Saccharomyces cerevisiae S288C: one gene and its partners. The gene in region 4 interacts genetically with the main gene of each other region. Each region holds a gene or a part of one and is shown on either strand. Other genes may lie near its edges. The genes, in order: ADP1, SRP102, PDH1 and HUL4.

Region 1 (5,243 bases), on a different chromosome or scaffold from region 4:
CTGTTGTATTGTTATTGCTATTGGACGATATATAAAATGAACCTATAGCAAGATCTCAGGGAAATACGATCCAACCAAGGTGCTTTATATACAGCTTGGTGTCTCTGACAGGTTGGAGTACAGAGGAGAAGGCGCCATAGCCGCCCAACCCGCGATAACGAAAAAAAGCTGTAAGAAAATGCAGTCTTCCCCAACGTTTGTTACCCCAACAATACCGAAATAGCCGCCCAACCGCAAATCTGGCAAAAAATCTTTTCGTATCTCGCTGCAGATGACCTTCCAACCCGCCCCTTTTTGTAGTCACGCCTTTAAGGGCCCTTGTTTGGCTTGCTCACATGGGGCTACACGTAAAAACCGTAGCTTGGAGAACCACTCAGCCGCTCGCCTATTCCACGGAGCTCCGGATCAACGGGCAGTGGACCCTCTCGAAAATAAGGAAAGTTGCGGGGCCAAAAATTATTATTTCTTATGTAAAAGAAGAGACTATATACGACGCCTATCTACTTTTGTTCCACAACTATCCACTTAAGGGCTAGATACCCCATTATTAAAAACACCACATTAAACAGAGCCAGGATCTTGATGTCAAATACAAGGTTTTGGACAACAAATCCAAATGTGCTCAAGATAGTAGCGCCTGGAACTTCAATATTTAAGCCGTACTTTCTCTCTTTCAGCATCAATGTTTTGACCTCATTGATCAATAAAGATTCGTAGGCGTAGTAAAACACAGAGAAGTTTTTCAGGTACTTGAAGGCCACGTTTGTAATATTCTTAGTATTGATAAATAGTCCGCTAAACAGTAGTGAGCCCAAAAGCACCAGCACGCTTAATATTATGGAGTTATTCAAGTCTTCAAAAATTATGCCGATGGTTAGGATTTCCAACGATATCCCAAGGTTAAACAGTATAAGGATTCCAATACATTTAAAAAAAGCATTGTCTTTCATGTTTAAACCAGTCATTGGGTAAACAATCAATGACAAGAGTATAGGTGGTACAACACGTAGCGGGACCACTTCGCTCATTATCTTACTAATGTAGTATGCAAGTGGCGAGTAATAGTTATTGGATCTTTCTTTTATGAAAATGATCCTTTCCAGAGCGAACGAGCTGAGACCTGTGAATGTAACAAAACCGAAGTACGTTAGTATAAAGAAGAACAGCCCCATTCTGTTCTGAAAACCGCTGATATCATTGGAGACGTTGTAATATAGTGTTCCCAAGAATAAACTCAATAGGATCGTCAGTAAATAATTACCCAATAATAGTTTAGGGTTTCTGTACATGTTTTTAAAACTTCTTGAATTCAATATCGATAACTGTTGCAGAAAACCAGCAGATTGTTGACCTGTGGGTAAATCTCCATTCAAAACGTTACTTTCCTCATCACCTTCGCTTAAAACTTCCTCGATCTCCTGTGAAAGCTCTGCATAATAGACGCTATCTTTATATTTATCGTGTAGTAGTTTGGTATTTAAGTCAATCTCAGTAGCACCTCGCCTTCCATCTGTTCCCTCTACATCTTCTTCATCTCTGAGTAAAGATCTGATCTCATCTCTATGAGCTGCAAGATGAGCCCACTCTCTCTGTGTTGTACCATCACTGCTAGTAAATGTTGTTTGGTGTATCGTATTATCAATATCGTTAGTATCCGTACCAGCTTCTAAATCGGAAATGTTTCTGATTCTTCTCCTTTTCCCCTGAGGACCGGCTTCAAAAGTAATATCAATCAAATAATCAGCAATATTATAGTTGTCCGGACAGATATATCCCTCATTTCTCAAAAATTCTGACACTTTTTTGGCATTTCCGGAATAGACCATCTCACCTTTACTTAACAGGACCAATTTATCGAATAAATAAAATATATTTGATCTTGGCTGATGAATAGATAGCACCAATGTCCTGTTATAGTCGCTGGATAACCTTACCAAACATTCAATAACATTATTGGCATTACTAGCATCTAAACCAGATGTAGGTTCATCCAAAAATAAAACCAATGGAGATGTCACTAATTCACATGCAATGGAAACTCGGCGTTTTTCACCTCCACTAATACCACGATCAAATTCATTACCAATAATACGATCTTTGATATCAATAATTCTTAGTTCTTCCAACACCTTATAAACTCTTGCCTTCTTGGCCTCGAATGACAATGCTTTTGGCAATCTTAACAGCGCACTATTTAATACGGTTTCAAAAACAGTCAAAGTGGGCAGCAAAAAGTCATCTTGATCGACGAACCCGATTATTTTCGAGAAAGATTTACGGTCCATACTAATACCGTTAACTTTTATGGAACCCGAAACGTGACCTGTTTTCCGTTTCATTGCTAGGATATCTAATAAAGTAGTTTTACCCGCACCAGATCCACCCATGATAGCTAATATTTGGCCGGGCTTCACGATACCACTTATTTCATTCAGCACAGTTTCTTCAACACCATCTGAATTTATCGAGGGGACACTATAAGTGATATTTTCAAAACTTAATGTCGCCAGTGTGTCATCTTCATTTTGTAAGAAATTATTCACCGCATCTTCATCTGGCAAACGAATGGGAGACTTTGAGGAACCCAATCCATTTCTGAATAACGGAGATTTAGAAATGTAAAAGGTAGCAAATGTAAAAAGTGCCAGGACCATCACAGCAGTCAATGCCAACACCAATTTCCCTTGCCATGACACTGTTGGATCTTTTGAAGGAGATTTGTAACCTGGAATCTCACTATAATGAACACATTCACCGGATTCACACTTCAAAGTAATATAAGGGTCACCAAACACGGTCAATATCAAATCATTCATAGAAGGCTCACTGAATTTACATTGCCTTGTTTCTAAATCACAGCTGAAATCTCCTGGCCCTTTTATTGTCTCTGTCAGGAAATCCGAGATATCTATAGACCCCTTAGCACCACACAACACAGTGTCGGGAACGCATTTGCATTGAACGTCATTACACTTATAATGGGAGGTATTCTGTTCCAAGTCGTATTCAAAGGCACAATCACTTAAGCCACAATAGAAGCTTTCTAACTGATCTATCCAAAACTGAAAATTACATTCTTGATTAGGTTTATCACAGGCAAATGTAATTTGTGGTATTTTGCCGTTCAAAATCTGTAGAATTTTCTCATTGGTCACATTACAACCTGAAAATACTTTATCTACAATCATACCATTCTTATAACATGTCCCCTTAATACTAGGATCAGGCATGAACGCATCACAGACAAAATCTTCTTGACAAACGTCACAATTGATCCCTCCCCATCCGTTATCACAATGACAGGTGTCATTTTGTGCTCTTATGGGACGATCCTTATTACCGCTTTCATCCGGTGATAGACCGCCACAGAGGGGCAGAGAGCAATCATCACCTGCAAACCCTTCTATACACTCACATCTACCAGTGTACGAATTGCATTCAGAAAACTGTTTGCATTCAAAAATAGGTAGCATACAATTAAAACATGGCGGGCATGTATCATTGCCCTTATCTTGTGCAGTTAGACGCGAATTTTTCGAAGAAGTACCTTCAAAGAATGGGGTCTTATCTTGTTTTGCAAGTACCACTGAGCAGGATAATAATAGAAATGATAATATACTATAGTAGAGATAACGTCGATGACTTCCCATACTGTAATTGCTTTTAGTTGTGTATTTTTAGTGTGCAAGTTTCTGTAAATCGATTAATTTTTTTTTCTTTCCTCTTTTTATTAACCTTAATTTTTATTTTAGATTCCTGACTTCAACTCAAGACGCACAGATATTATAACATCTGCATAATAGGCATTTGCAAGAATTACTCGTGAGTAAGGAAAGAGTGAGGAACTATCGCATACCTGCATTTAAAGATGCCGATTTGGGCGCGAATCCTTTATTTTGGCTTCACCCTCATACTATTATCAGGGCCAGAAAAAGGAAGTGTTTCCCTCCTTCTTGAATTGATGTTACCCTCATAAAGCACGTGGCCTCTTATCGAGAAAGAAATTACCGTCGCTCGTGATTTGTTTGCAAAAAGAACAAAACTGAAAAAACCCAGACACGCTCGACTTCCTGTCTTCCTATTGATTGCAGCTTCCAATTTCGTCACACAACAAGGTCCTAGCGACGGCTCACAGGTTTTGTAACAAGCAATCGAAGGTTCTGGAATGGCGGGAAAGGGTTTAGTACCACATGCTATGATGCCCACTGTGATCTCCAGAGCAAAGTTCGTTCGATCGTACTGTTACTCTCTCTCTTTCAAACAGAATTGTCCGAATCGTGTGACAACAACAGCCTGTTCTCACACACTCTTTTCTTCTAACCAAGGGGGTGGTTTAGTTTAGTAGAACCTCGTGAAACTTACATTTACATATATATAAACTTGCATAAATTGGTCAATGCAAGAAATACATATTTGGTCTTTTCTAATTCGTAGTTTTTCAAGTTCTTAGATGCTTTCTTTTTCTCTTTTTTACAGATCATCAAGGAAGTAATTATCTACTTTTTACAACAAATATAAAACAATGTCTTTATCTTCAAAGTTGTCTGTCCAAGATTTGGACTTGAAGGACAAGCGTGTCTTCATCAGAGTTGACTTCAACGTCCCATTGGACGGTAAGAAGATCACTTCTAACCAAAGAATTGTTGCTGCTTTGCCAACCATCAAGTACGTTTTGGAACACCACCCAAGATACGTTGTCTTGGCTTCTCACTTGGGTAGACCAAACGGTGAAAGAAACGAAAAATACTCTTTGGCTCCAGTTGCTAAGGAATTGCAATCATTGTTGGGTAAGGATGTCACCTTCTTGAACGACTGTGTCGGTCCAGAAGTTGAAGCCGCTGTCAAGGCTTCTGCCCCAGGTTCCGTTATTTTGTTGGAAAACTTGCGTTACCACATCGAAGAAGAAGGTTCCAGAAAGGTCGATGGTCAAAAGGTCAAGGCTTCCAAGGAAGATGTTCAAAAGTTCAGACACGAATTGAGCTCTTTGGCTGATGTTTACATCAACGATGCCTTCGGTACCGCTCACAGAGCTCACTCTTCTATGGTCGGTTTCGACTTGCCACAACGTGCTGCCGGTTTCTTGTTGGAAAAGGAATTGAAGTACTTCGGTAAGGCTTTGGAGAACCCAACCAGACCATTCTTGGCCATCTTAGGTGGTGCCAAGGTTGCTGACAAGATTCAATTGATTGACAACTTGTTGGACAAGGTCGACTCTATCATCATTGGTGGTGGTATGGCTTTCA
Region 2 (3,034 bases), on a different chromosome or scaffold from region 4:
CATGACCTTTACGTTTGACAGGATCATTGATAATTCTAGGCCAGGAATTTTGCGTGTCATCACCCAGTGATCCAATGTCATATTTGCCGTTCACATTTTCATTCCGTAATTTCTTAATTTCTTTCAACGTATTTTCGTCCTTATGTGATCTCTCGAATATTAAATAGGAGTAGTTTAAAATTTCATAGTCACGACCATTTCTTCTTCCCGTTCCTTTTAGCCTCGACGCATTTCCTTGAGAACCATCCCATGAAGTAGCGAGAAGTTTACCCTTCTTTAACTCTATACTGAATTTGGGACGCTTGATGCTTTTTTGAAAATTGCAGAACTTTAAGTCTTTACCCTCTTTATGAGTATAAAAGTTAGGATTTCCAACCTGTAAGGGACATTTCCTTTGATGTGGACAAGGTGCAATCACCTTCAGAAAATAATTACTGGAAATGTTTCCTAATTCAGCATCTTTTTTGCCTCTGACTGTTACTCCCCTAGACCAAGGTCTTGGTATTTTTCCGAATTCATCTGGAAAGTTTTCAGGTCTAAGCGTAATTTGCCTTGCCCTGGCTATAATCTCGAATCCCATTGGGTTGCCTCGTTCAATAATAACAATGTGGCCTCCAGGCGCTAGAATATTTAAGTAGTGCTCAATATTTTCATCCACCTGAATTGGAAATTGATTCCCGTCATGAAGAAGTTGATGCGTTAATATTATGAGGTCATATTCCTTAGATGCGGGAATAGAAGACCGCAAGTTAGTCATAATGTTTATCTTTTTTGTCATCACTTCTCCAATATGTTCATCCTCTTGAAAGTTTTTGTTCCGTCTATCTGTTTCCTGCTCTTTCTCTGTAGACACATTTTCTTCTACAGTATCGACCACCTCGTTAAGTTGTCTGCTCAAAATGATTTTGGCTCTTTCTTGCATCTCCGCATTCCCTAAAATAACGGCATCTTTTAGATCAGGTCTATAATTTGGGCCTAAAATATCATTCAAGGCAACTATACCAGTCGCTGGGCCATATCCAACATCAAGGATTCTTTGAGGTTTAAAATTATCAGGACCTACCCTTTTTTGTAATTCTTTCAGACTTTGGAAAATAGAACCATAATTTTGTAAAAAAATGGACGCTATATGTGCATCCACTTCCATTTTGGTTCTACAGGGACGATGTAATGAATTTGGTTCCTGAATCTCTTTGTAATAATTTGTAGCAACCCTTCTAAGATTATTGGGAATATGTACAGCCATAATATTATTGTTGATTGCTTTGCTTACATCAGGATTCAACTCTAATTGGTCCCGGTACGACTGGCCCTGAAGTGTTTTGGAAAGTAATCTGAGCTCTTTAGAATTAGTTGCTTGAGTGGTGCTAGCGGTTTCATCTCTGTACGACGGAAGAACATTGATTCCTCTTTTATTTGAGTCTATAAAATCCGCCAAATCTAACTTTGGTAAGTTTAAACTTGTGAACTTTGAGCTGAACCGGACATTTTGTGGTAGGATACTGAAGCATCTTTTCATCATTTTACCTAAACTAGACGGGCCACCTTATGTCCTAAAGTGTCAGAGGTTTTGCTGCAATACTGTTCTTAATTTTTCACCATTCACTTTTTTCATCTAGTGGCGGAAAAAAATAAGAGATATGGAAAACAAATATGAACCATCATTAAACTTGAAAAAGATGAGAAGAAAAGAAATAGTTAGGCTTTAAGTGTCTGTATTGATCAATTAATTATTACTTTACCACTGCTGTTTATTAGCATAATAGCACACGGGATCAGAATGCTTAGTAATACACTTATTATTGCCTGTTTATTGGTGATAGGGACAACCATAGCGCTAATAGCAGTGCAAAAGGCATCCTCCAAGACAGGGATCAAGCAAAAAAGTTATCAACCATCTATTATCATTGCAGGTCCTCAAAATTCTGGAAAAACGAGCTTGCTTACGCTGCTAACCACAGATTCAGTAAGACCAACTGTTGTTTCTCAAGAACCGTTATCAGCAGCGGATTACGATGGTTCCGGCGTCACGTTAGTGGACTTCCCAGGCCATGTCAAGTTGCGTTATAAACTCTCAGATTATTTGAAAACAAGAGCCAAATTTGTTAAAGGGTTGATATTTATGGTAGACTCAACAGTTGATCCTAAGAAATTAACAACAACAGCTGAGTTCTTGGTAGACATATTATCAATTACTGAATCTAGTTGCGAAAATGGTATTGATATCTTAATTGCATGCAATAAAAGCGAATTGTTCACTGCAAGACCACCATCAAAGATCAAGGATGCTTTAGAAAGCGAAATTCAAAAGGTTATTGAAAGAAGGAAAAAATCGTTGAACGAGGTTGAAAGAAAAATTAACGAAGAAGATTATGCAGAGAATACACTAGACGTTTTACAGTCTACCGACGGGTTCAAATTTGCAAATTTGGAAGCATCTGTAGTTGCTTTTGAGGGCAGTATTAATAAAAGAAAAATTTCCCAATGGCGCGAATGGATAGATGAAAAACTGTAATATAATTATAATTTATAACTAGATGAACGATAGATAGTTTAAAAACAAGCATTTAACATAGCTCTAGATTCCGTACGCAGAGAAAGACATAGTTGCATCATCGACACATGCAATATCAAAAGTAACTCTTTTTGACTGCTGGTGTAAAAAACACTCACGATGGGGGTCGAACCCATAATCTTCTGATTAGAAGTCAGACGCGTTGCCATTACGCCACGCGAGCTAATATTTGTTTGATGTTCCAGCAGTTATATGATCTAATTATGCGGGAAAATAATTGAAGATAAGTAGTTTGATGTATTTTTATTATAGTATTATATTTTCTGATTTGGTTATAGCAAGCAGCGTTTTTTTTCTTCTTTACCATAATCATTGTACCAGGAAATTTTGTTCATAATTATTGTGTTGATTGTCAATGGTCAAAGGTACAACTAATGAAGATTAAATATGGTGAATAGGAGGCCTGCTAGCCACCGTACATTTAATATGTCCGCGTGTTGGAATAAAAATCAACTATCG
Region 3 (3,716 bases), on a different chromosome or scaffold from region 4:
GGCTGTTGATGACAGGTGGTGTGCCAACTTTCCAGCAAGCTGCTTCTTTCAGGAAAGAATTGGCTATTCGTGGAAGGAAATTGCCACATTATACAGAGAAAGTTTTGTCAAGTTTACCCAAAGATATGCACCCTATGACCCAACTTGCAATTGGTTTAGCATCAATGAACAAAGGATCCCTCTTTGCTACAAACTACCAAAAGGGCCTCATAGGAAAGATGGAATTTTGGAAAGATACTCTTGAAGATTCGCTAAATTTAATTGCTTCACTCCCGCTGCTGACTGGGAGAATTTATTCGAACATTACAAATGAGGGACACCCATTAGGTCAATATAGTGAGGAGGTGGATTGGTGTACAAACATATGTTCCCTGCTCGGCATGACAAATGGAACGAACTCTTCTAATACATGCAACCTTACTTCCCAGCAATCCCTGGACTTCATAAACTTGATGCGGTTATATACCGGTATACATGTAGACCATGAAGGTGGTAATGTTTCTGCTCACACCACCCACTTGGTTGGAAGTGCGTTGAGTGACCCGTATCTCAGCTATTCATCTGGAATAATGGGATTAGCGGGTCCTTTGCATGGGTTAGCAGCACAAGAAGTAGTAAGGTTTCTCATAGAGATGAACTCTAATATTTCCAGCATTGCACGAGAACAAGAAATCAAAGATTATCTTTGGAAAATTTTGAATTCAAACCGTGTGATCCCCGGTTATGGGCACGCAGTTTTGCGTAAACCGGATCCTCGATTTACAGCAATGCTTGAATTTGCGCAAAAGAGGCCTATTGAATTTGAGAACGACAAGAACGTTTTGTTGATGCAAAAATTGGCAGAAATAGCGCCTAAGGTTTTGTTGGAACACGGAAAGAGTAAGAATCCATTTCCCAATGTTGACTCTGCATCGGGGATTTTGTTTTATCATTATGGAATCAGGGAATTATTATTCTTTACCGTCATTTTTGGGTGTTCAAGGGCCATGGGACCCTTGACACAACTTGTTTGGGATCGCATTCTAGGTTTACCAATTGAAAGGCCCAAGAGTTTGAACTTGGAGGGTCTGGAAGCACTTACCAAAGCAAGCAATGTTAACAAGTTGTAACGCAGTTCCAATTTACAAGAATGCTTCGTTTGCTATTACAATATTGAAATATAAATAAAATTCCATACAGCATGTCTAATCATAGCTAATTTATACATATTCATCATGAAAACATATAGGGGAAAATATGGTCGGTTAACACACCTATCAAAAAATTATTCAGCAATTCCAATCTCGTTAGTAAAATATATTCTTATTTTTTTTTTTTTTCTCTGATTGTATTATTTCTGGAGTTTTGACTTATTTTTTTACCACATCGCGCTTTTCGTCCCCAATCTCTCTGATATATGATGCTGTCTATAGGTAGCCACTTCCCCGATGTCGGACCTCGGGCCGTTTACAAACTTTATTGAGATGACCTTATTTCTCCACATTCTAGTCATTCAACTTTTACCCTCATATGTTTACCTTCACTAATGTGAAAGCATGACCAAAGAAAGTGTATAAGGTATATAAATCTGCCATAATGTATGTATAACTTATTAGGACTTTCTCAAATAGTATTTTGGTATTTTCTACTGTTCTCTGATGATCGAGAGCAAACAGAATGTTTTTAGCCAAAAATCTAAAAAATAATAAAATCAAGGTATGCTTGCCTAAAAAGAAATTTGCTGCGCTGAGTACAGCGTCTATACAAACTAATGAAAGACCAAATCCAGATAAGGTTTTGAAGGACATCGCGAAATATGTCCATGAAACCCCATTAAAATCATCTTTGGCTCTAGATACAGCACGACTCTGTTTCCTTGATACTCTAGGCTGTGGCTTGGCGGCTTTGAAATTTAAGCAGGCTCAAAATATTATTAAACCAATTGTGCCAGGAACAATAGTTCCCAGTGGAACAAAAATATTGGGCACATCTTACGTTATGGATCCAGTGAAGGGAGCTTTTGCCATTGGTACTCTAATACGTTGGTTAGATTACAATGACTGCTGGTTAGCTGCCGAGTGGGGGCACCCATCAGATAACCTTGGGGGAATTTTAGCTGTCGCGGATCACTTGTCCAGATTAAACAAGGCTACCCACGGAAAGAATGGAAAACAGTTTCTTGTTAAAGACGTATTAGAGGCAATGATTAAAGCGCATGAAATCCAAGGTATTATAGCGCTCGAAAATTCTTTCAATAAAGTAGGTTTAGATCATGTGGTACTCGTGAAAGTAGCAACGGCTGGTGTTGTCTCGAAGATGCTGGGCCTGAGCCAGGAACAAACTATTGAAGCATTGTCACAAGCATTTGTAGACGGTCAATCACTGCGTACTTACCGTCATGCCCCAAATACTGGATCTAGAAAGTCGTGGGCGGCGGGAGATGCAGTTTCGAGGGCTGTAAACTTGGCTTATTTAGTCAAAAATGCTAATGTTGGCACGATACCTTCAGTATTAACAGCTAGAACCTGGGGATTTTATGACGTTTTATTTAAGGGTAAACCTTTTTCATTCCAACAAAGATCAAAATATGATTCCTACGTCATGGAAAACGTTCTGTTCAAGATATCATTTCCTGCCGAATTCCATGCGCAAACTGCTGTAGAAGCTGCTGTAAAAGCATATAGGATTCTTGCCAAACAAGGGAAAACTTTTAAAGATATTAAATCGATCAGAATTAGAACTCAAGAGGCGGCAATGAGGATTATAGATAAATCCGGTCCTCTGTATAATTATGCCGATAGGGATCATTGTATCCAGTACATGATCGCGGTTCCGCTGATTACTGGTAATCTCACAGCTACTGATTATTCGGATGAGGTCGCAAGAAATCCTGAGATCGATAACTTGAGATCGAAAATGTACTGTATCGAAGATACTCATCTCACTCAAAACTATCACGATCCTGATAAAAGGTCGATAGGAAACGCTCTTCTCATAGAGCTGAACGATGGGACGCAGTTGGATGAAATTTTTGTAGAGTACCCTGTTGGTCACAAATTTAGACGAGAGGAAGGAATACCATTACTAATGAATAAATTTCAAAGGCATCTGCGCGAACATTTTGTAGAGAGCCCTGATAAAGTCGACCTTATAATGAAGGTAAGTTCAAAAACAAACTTTTTGAATATGCAAATCGACAAATACATGGATTTGTTTACTGAGGGATGAATGGTTGGCTCTTTAAGAGCGAACGGCATGGTACCTACTTCAATTTTTAAAGACAAAAGGCGCCGTTTCGATAAACAAGAAATCACTTTCAAAACATAATTAAACCAAAGAACATGCGGTTTTCTAATTATGCTGGCTTAATTTTACTGGTATTTATCTACATAATAATAACTATTAAAAAATTAAATAATTGGCTCTATTTATTTTTCTTTCTTCAACTTGCAAGAGTTCGTCAATTCATGGAAAAATACAAAAATAGAAATGCGAATTCTGTGGATCGAACACAGGACCTCCAGATAACTTGACCGAAGTTTTTTCTTCAGTCTGGCGCTCTCCCAACTGAGCTAAATCCGCTCAATTTCTATGCTCTAACCACCTTAGCTAAAAACTCAATACAGGATTAGTTGATAAATGGGTGTTATCAACTCAATCCACAGTGTTGGAATCAGAGTCAGTTATCATCTTTGGGCTAGTATTATTGTAAGTGTTGGAATAAAAATTCTAAAATA
Region 4 (4,850 bases):
CCCTTTGGGGATACCAGTATCCAACACTTCTCATTGAAAAACGCTGCAAGGTAGTGATCATGTGAGGAACCACCATTGATGGGAAGCCTCTCAAACAAGGCCTTTTCCCAGATATACGTATCGTCTTCAAAACTGCTAAGGATTGCATTCATTCTGCATGTTATTAGAATTGCAGTACTCGTCATAAATGTAAATGTTAAATGATTTAATGTGGTATCCGCTAAAATAGGCTGCAAAAGTTCGATTCTTTCCATGTTATCAGACCCAAAGGCACCAGGCCCTTGGTATATTTTGTCTACCGTTTTACCATCAATGGTCTGTTTCGATGACAATGCATGTTTAATAAAATAAGTTTTCCATGGCGTAAAAACAAAATGACCAATATTGGTGACCGATTTGAGAAGTACTTGTGAGACCGTTGCTTCCTCCACAAATGTTAAATTGGTAGTTCTTTGCCACTTCGTTCCTTTGGCTGGTTTAGACTCGAATACACACACGCATGCTTCCAACTTATATGCAACCTCATTGTGTGCACGTGTGAGAATCGACAACGTAAAGACATCCTTATCTAAGAAATCATTGAAATTGATACACGCATCTATGGATACTATCGGTGAGGATGTCACATAACTCAGCTTAACGTCTGTTTCTTCCAAACAAAAAATGTCCTCAGTAGAAATCTCGTAAATTTCAGTGCATGACAAATTAAAAACCAGAGCTGTTCGTAGTGGATCTTGGAACATGAACTTTGGCTCTGATCTTACCTGATCAATTCCTGTTTCCAGAGATTTCACTATTTTGTAATCAAGGTTGACGAAGTCCAACCGTCCCGTGGCTTTCAACAGAATATAAAATCTTCGGTTAGGTGCAGTATGATCTTTGAAATAAAAGGCTGCCATTGTATATCCGACAGTCCTAAGTCTTAACTTCTTGCGCGCTTCATCTTGTTCTACCCCTTCAAACACATCTATATATTCTAGTCCTATGACCACCAATTCTCGGCTCTGTCCTTCGAGTCCATCTTCTTCCCTAATAAAACATTTAACTACATCCGGGGGACCATCAACCTCACTTACTATAATGTTGTCAGTCATCGCTATACGAATCCTCCCTGCTGGCATGAGAAATTGGATACGCCAAGCCCTGGGCAGCCTCCTCTTTGCATCGTTTCTCTTGCTTTCATCTTTCCACTATCCAATTACCCTGACTCTCGTTCCTGTCTATCATGAGTCTCTTGTCAAGCCAACAAGTGCTTCCTTTGGAGGTATACGATTGTCTCAACTTACTATGATTATGGAGAGGAGAGCAACGCCTACGTGTCAAGACCCATCGTTAACCGAGGTCTAGCTTTAACCTTGTATCTCCTAGCACTTTTAAATAAGGCAAAAAGGGAGTAGGGTCATATCTTTCTGGGACCCTTTTTTTGTGATTGCCCCAAATAAAGGAAAAAAATGGAGGTTACAGGATTTTTTGAAGAGTCAGGTATAACCGCCCATGTGGAACAGGTAGATAGATAAATATATTCGAAGGATTGCTAGATAGGGGCAAGTTTTTGCATGCATTTCTCGACTTTAAGCAGAAAAGTACATATTTTTAAGGGCATTGGTGAAATTTACCAGGTATATCTCTCGAATACTGCGGCTGATAGGTAAAGTAAAATAGGAAATGGTTTCTTTATTTGATAAGCTTAATGCAAAAAAAGACGGTAGAGATGGATCTGTGTCGAAGGAGTTGCTATCACATTCTGTAGCCCATACTAAGAACAGGTTACCCAAATCAGGAAGGCGCACGTCGGAACGGTCCTTAGCCGCTAGTGTAAAGGACGGAAGTTGCTCAAATAGCAAAAGCAATAAGCGGAACTCTTCGGCATCCGTGTCAGGGGAAGAAGATAAATCCTGTCTAATTTCACTTAATTGCCTATGTTGTGGTGTCCCACTACGGTTTCCAGCCTCCATAACGAAATTTCGATGCAGCGCATGCCAAGTAACAGTTATTGTAAAGGAGCCGGAAATTAACAGTAATTTGGAATCTAGTACGCATATTTCGTGCACATTAGAGGGTTTGCAGATGGTAGTAAGGCGGTGCCATGATGATTTGCAGCGGCTTAAGAAGACTGGGATTCTGGATAAAGAAAGAAAGGGGTTGATTTTCCAACCGGTAATAACGTATTTACTGGACAGATTTCATGATGTTAGCATTTTAAACAGGTCGTTCTTGGTACATGATGGTGGAAAGAATATAAAGATGCTGAATTATGAAGTTTTACAAAGATTTTACAGTATATTATCAAATCTTCCTACAAGGAAACCGTATTATAGTATGCTGTGTTGCTGTAACGATCTACTGAAGAGAATAACAATCAATAAAGGGGAAAATTTGCAAATATTACAGTATCGTTGGTTGCTGATTATATTAAATATACCTACAATACGAACCTGCCTTATTAGAGATCGGAAGAGCAAAAATGTGTTTGAGACCCAACAAATAAGGGCGGTGTCTTATGAGTTGGCCAAACGATGTATTGGCTACTTGTCTAACCTATCAACAAAAACATCTCAACAATTGATTCAATCATTACGGCGAACGCCTACGGATAATTTTTCATACCAGGTAGAGATTTTAAATTTATACATCAATTTCCAATTTTCCAGATTACTGTCGAACGAATTATCAAATAGAACCGCAAAAAATAACGTGAAGCCTGAAGATGAGATGCGATCTCGTCTTCGTCGGCATCACACTACTGGCCATGAATTCCTGAGTACTAGACCAATAAGTGCACAATCAAATGATAAACAGGGAAGTGGTTTCACGCATCCCGTCAATAATAAGATGAAATTTAAATTTTTTCAATATGAGGAAGACTGGCATATTCACTCTGCAGCAAAATTGACGTTCATCTATTATGTAGCCAATACTAGAAGAAATGGCCGTGGAGCGTTGTCAATTCAAAGCTTTTACAATATAACGCTAGACTTCATAGATTATAAACAAGATTTCGATCATTGGAGAGGAGTAGCTCAAAAGACAAAAATGAATCAACTGATTGAAGAGTGGGGAAATTCGACGACAAAAAAATGTTTTTCATTCTGTAAGTATCCATTTATATTGTCACTCGGCATCAAAATCTCTATTATGGAGTATGAAATTCGCAGAATCATGGAACATGAAGCTGAACAGGCTTTTTTAATTTCACTGGATAAAGGCAAATCCGTAGACGTTTATTTCAAAATCAAAGTACGGCGTGACGTTATTTCTCATGATTCATTGAGATGTATCAAGGAACATCAAGGCGATTTATTAAAATCGCTGAGAATAGAGTTTGTTAATGAACCTGGAATTGATGCGGGAGGGTTGAGAAAAGAATGGTTTTTCTTATTAACAAAATCGCTGTTTAATCCGATGAATGGCTTATTTATTTACATAAAAGAAAGCTCACGTTCATGGTTTGCCATTGACCCTCCAAATTTTGACAAATCAAAAGGAAAAAACTCACAACTGGAATTATATTACTTGTTTGGAGTTGTCATGGGGTTGGCGATTTTCAACAGTACCATATTAGATTTACAATTTCCAAAGGCGCTTTATAAAAAACTATGCTCAGAGCCTCTGAGTTTTGAAGATTACTCGGAATTGTTTCCGGAGACAAGTAGGAACTTAATAAAAATGCTCAATTACACAGAGGATAATTTCGAAGACGTCTTTTCTTTAACATTTGAGACTACGTATCGAAATAACAACTGGATTTTAAATGACAGTAAATCGAGCAAAGAGTATGTAACGGTAGAATTATGTGAAAATGGCAGAAATGTGCCAATAACCCAAAGTAACAAGCATGAGTTTGTCATGAAATGGGTAGAATTTTATCTGGAAAAGTCCATTGAGCCACAATACAATAAATTTGTTTCAGGTTTTAAAAGGGTCTTCGCAGAATGCAATTCTATAAAATTATTTAATTCTGAAGAGCTGGAGAGATTAGTGTGTGGTGATGAGGAACAAACTAAATTTGATTTCAAATCGTTAAGATCCGTGACAAAGTATGTAGGTGGCTTCTCCGATGATTCCAGAGCGGTTTGCTGGTTTTGGGAAATTATTGAAAGTTGGGACTATCCATTGCAGAAGAAATTATTACAATTCGTAACGGCATCTGATCGTATACCTGCAACGGGTATCTCTACTATCCCATTCAAAATTAGCTTGCTAGGGTCGCATGATAGTGATGATTTGCCATTGGCTCATACATGTTTTAATGAAATATGTTTATGGAATTATTCCTCGAAAAAAAAACTAGAACTGAAATTACTTTGGGCAATTAATGAATCTGAAGGTTACGGGTTCCGCTAAGAGTCTTCAGAATATACATATACACATAACACATACATATTTTTTATAGATATTTCTATGGGTAAAGTTACGTCAAGGGTACTCTGTCCATTCTAAGTTTTCATGAAGCATTGTTATTCCTAAATTCTTCATCAAGCACCCACCCTTTACGCTCTTTATCAAACTGTGCTATGGTTTTTAATAATGCTCTAACCTTAATAACGTCTTCTTTATCAGAAAGACTGACGCCAATGCTGTTAAGTATGCTAACACTAGATGAGAAAAAGTTATTCTGTTTCTGTAAATATGCCCGAATATTTTCTAGCGTTTTGGTATTGGAATTGATTTCCTTGGATCTTGCGAAGGTTATACCATCGTCGTAATTTTCTTGGCGAGCTTCCTTGGATGCCTCTTTTTGTGATTTTGTAATATTGCCTAAAATGGCAGCTGATCCAGTTAATTTATTTTTCAACGGATCTCTCTTTCTAATTTTACCTGCTTTACCAAACCTACCTGTCCAAGTAGGT

What was found.
Region 1: mutations in HUL4 (region 4) and ADP1 together harm fitness more than expected from each alone (negative genetic interaction), as found in Saccharomyces cerevisiae (one large-scale study listed by BioGRID).
Region 2: mutations in HUL4 (region 4) and SRP102 together harm fitness less than expected from each alone (positive genetic interaction), as found in Saccharomyces cerevisiae (one large-scale study listed by BioGRID).
Region 3: mutations in HUL4 (region 4) and PDH1 together harm fitness more than expected from each alone (negative genetic interaction), as found in Saccharomyces cerevisiae (one large-scale study listed by BioGRID).

Annotation. Positions count from the first base shown.
Region 1 is NC_001135.5:133,224-138,466, forward strand, and holds ADP1 (putative ATP-dependent permease ADP1), read right to left. Parts: upstream 3,651-5,243; coding exon 501-3,650; downstream 1-500. Other genes in the region: PGK1 (phosphoglycerate kinase), read left to right, coding at 4,523-5,243.
Region 2 is NC_001143.9:159,821-162,854, forward strand, and holds SRP102 (Signal recognition particle receptor subunit beta), read left to right. Parts: upstream 1-1,780; coding exon 1,781-2,515; downstream 2,516-3,034. Other genes in the region: tRNA methyltransferase RSM22, read right to left, coding at 1-1,522. UniProt on the Saccharomyces cerevisiae protein: Component of the signal recognition particle (SRP) complex receptor (SR). Ensures, in conjunction with the SRP complex, the correct targeting of the nascent secretory proteins to the endoplasmic reticulum membrane system.
Region 3 is NC_001148.4:556,729-560,444, forward strand, and holds PDH1 (putative 2-methylcitrate dehydratase), read left to right. Parts: upstream 1-1,656; coding exon 1,657-3,207; downstream 3,208-3,716. Other genes in the region: citrate (Si)-synthase CIT3, read left to right, coding at 1-1,109. UniProt on the Saccharomyces cerevisiae protein: Catalyzes the stereospecific dehydration of (2S,3S)-2-methylcitrate (2-MC) to yield the cis isomer of 2-methyl-aconitate.
Region 4 is NC_001142.9:500,207-505,056, reverse strand, and holds HUL4 (putative E3 ubiquitin-protein ligase HUL4), read left to right. Parts: upstream 1-1,665; coding exon 1,666-4,344; downstream 4,345-4,850. Other genes in the region: MLO127 (Mlo127p), read right to left, coding at 1-1,121; DNA-dependent ATPase RAD26, read right to left, coding at 4,445-4,850.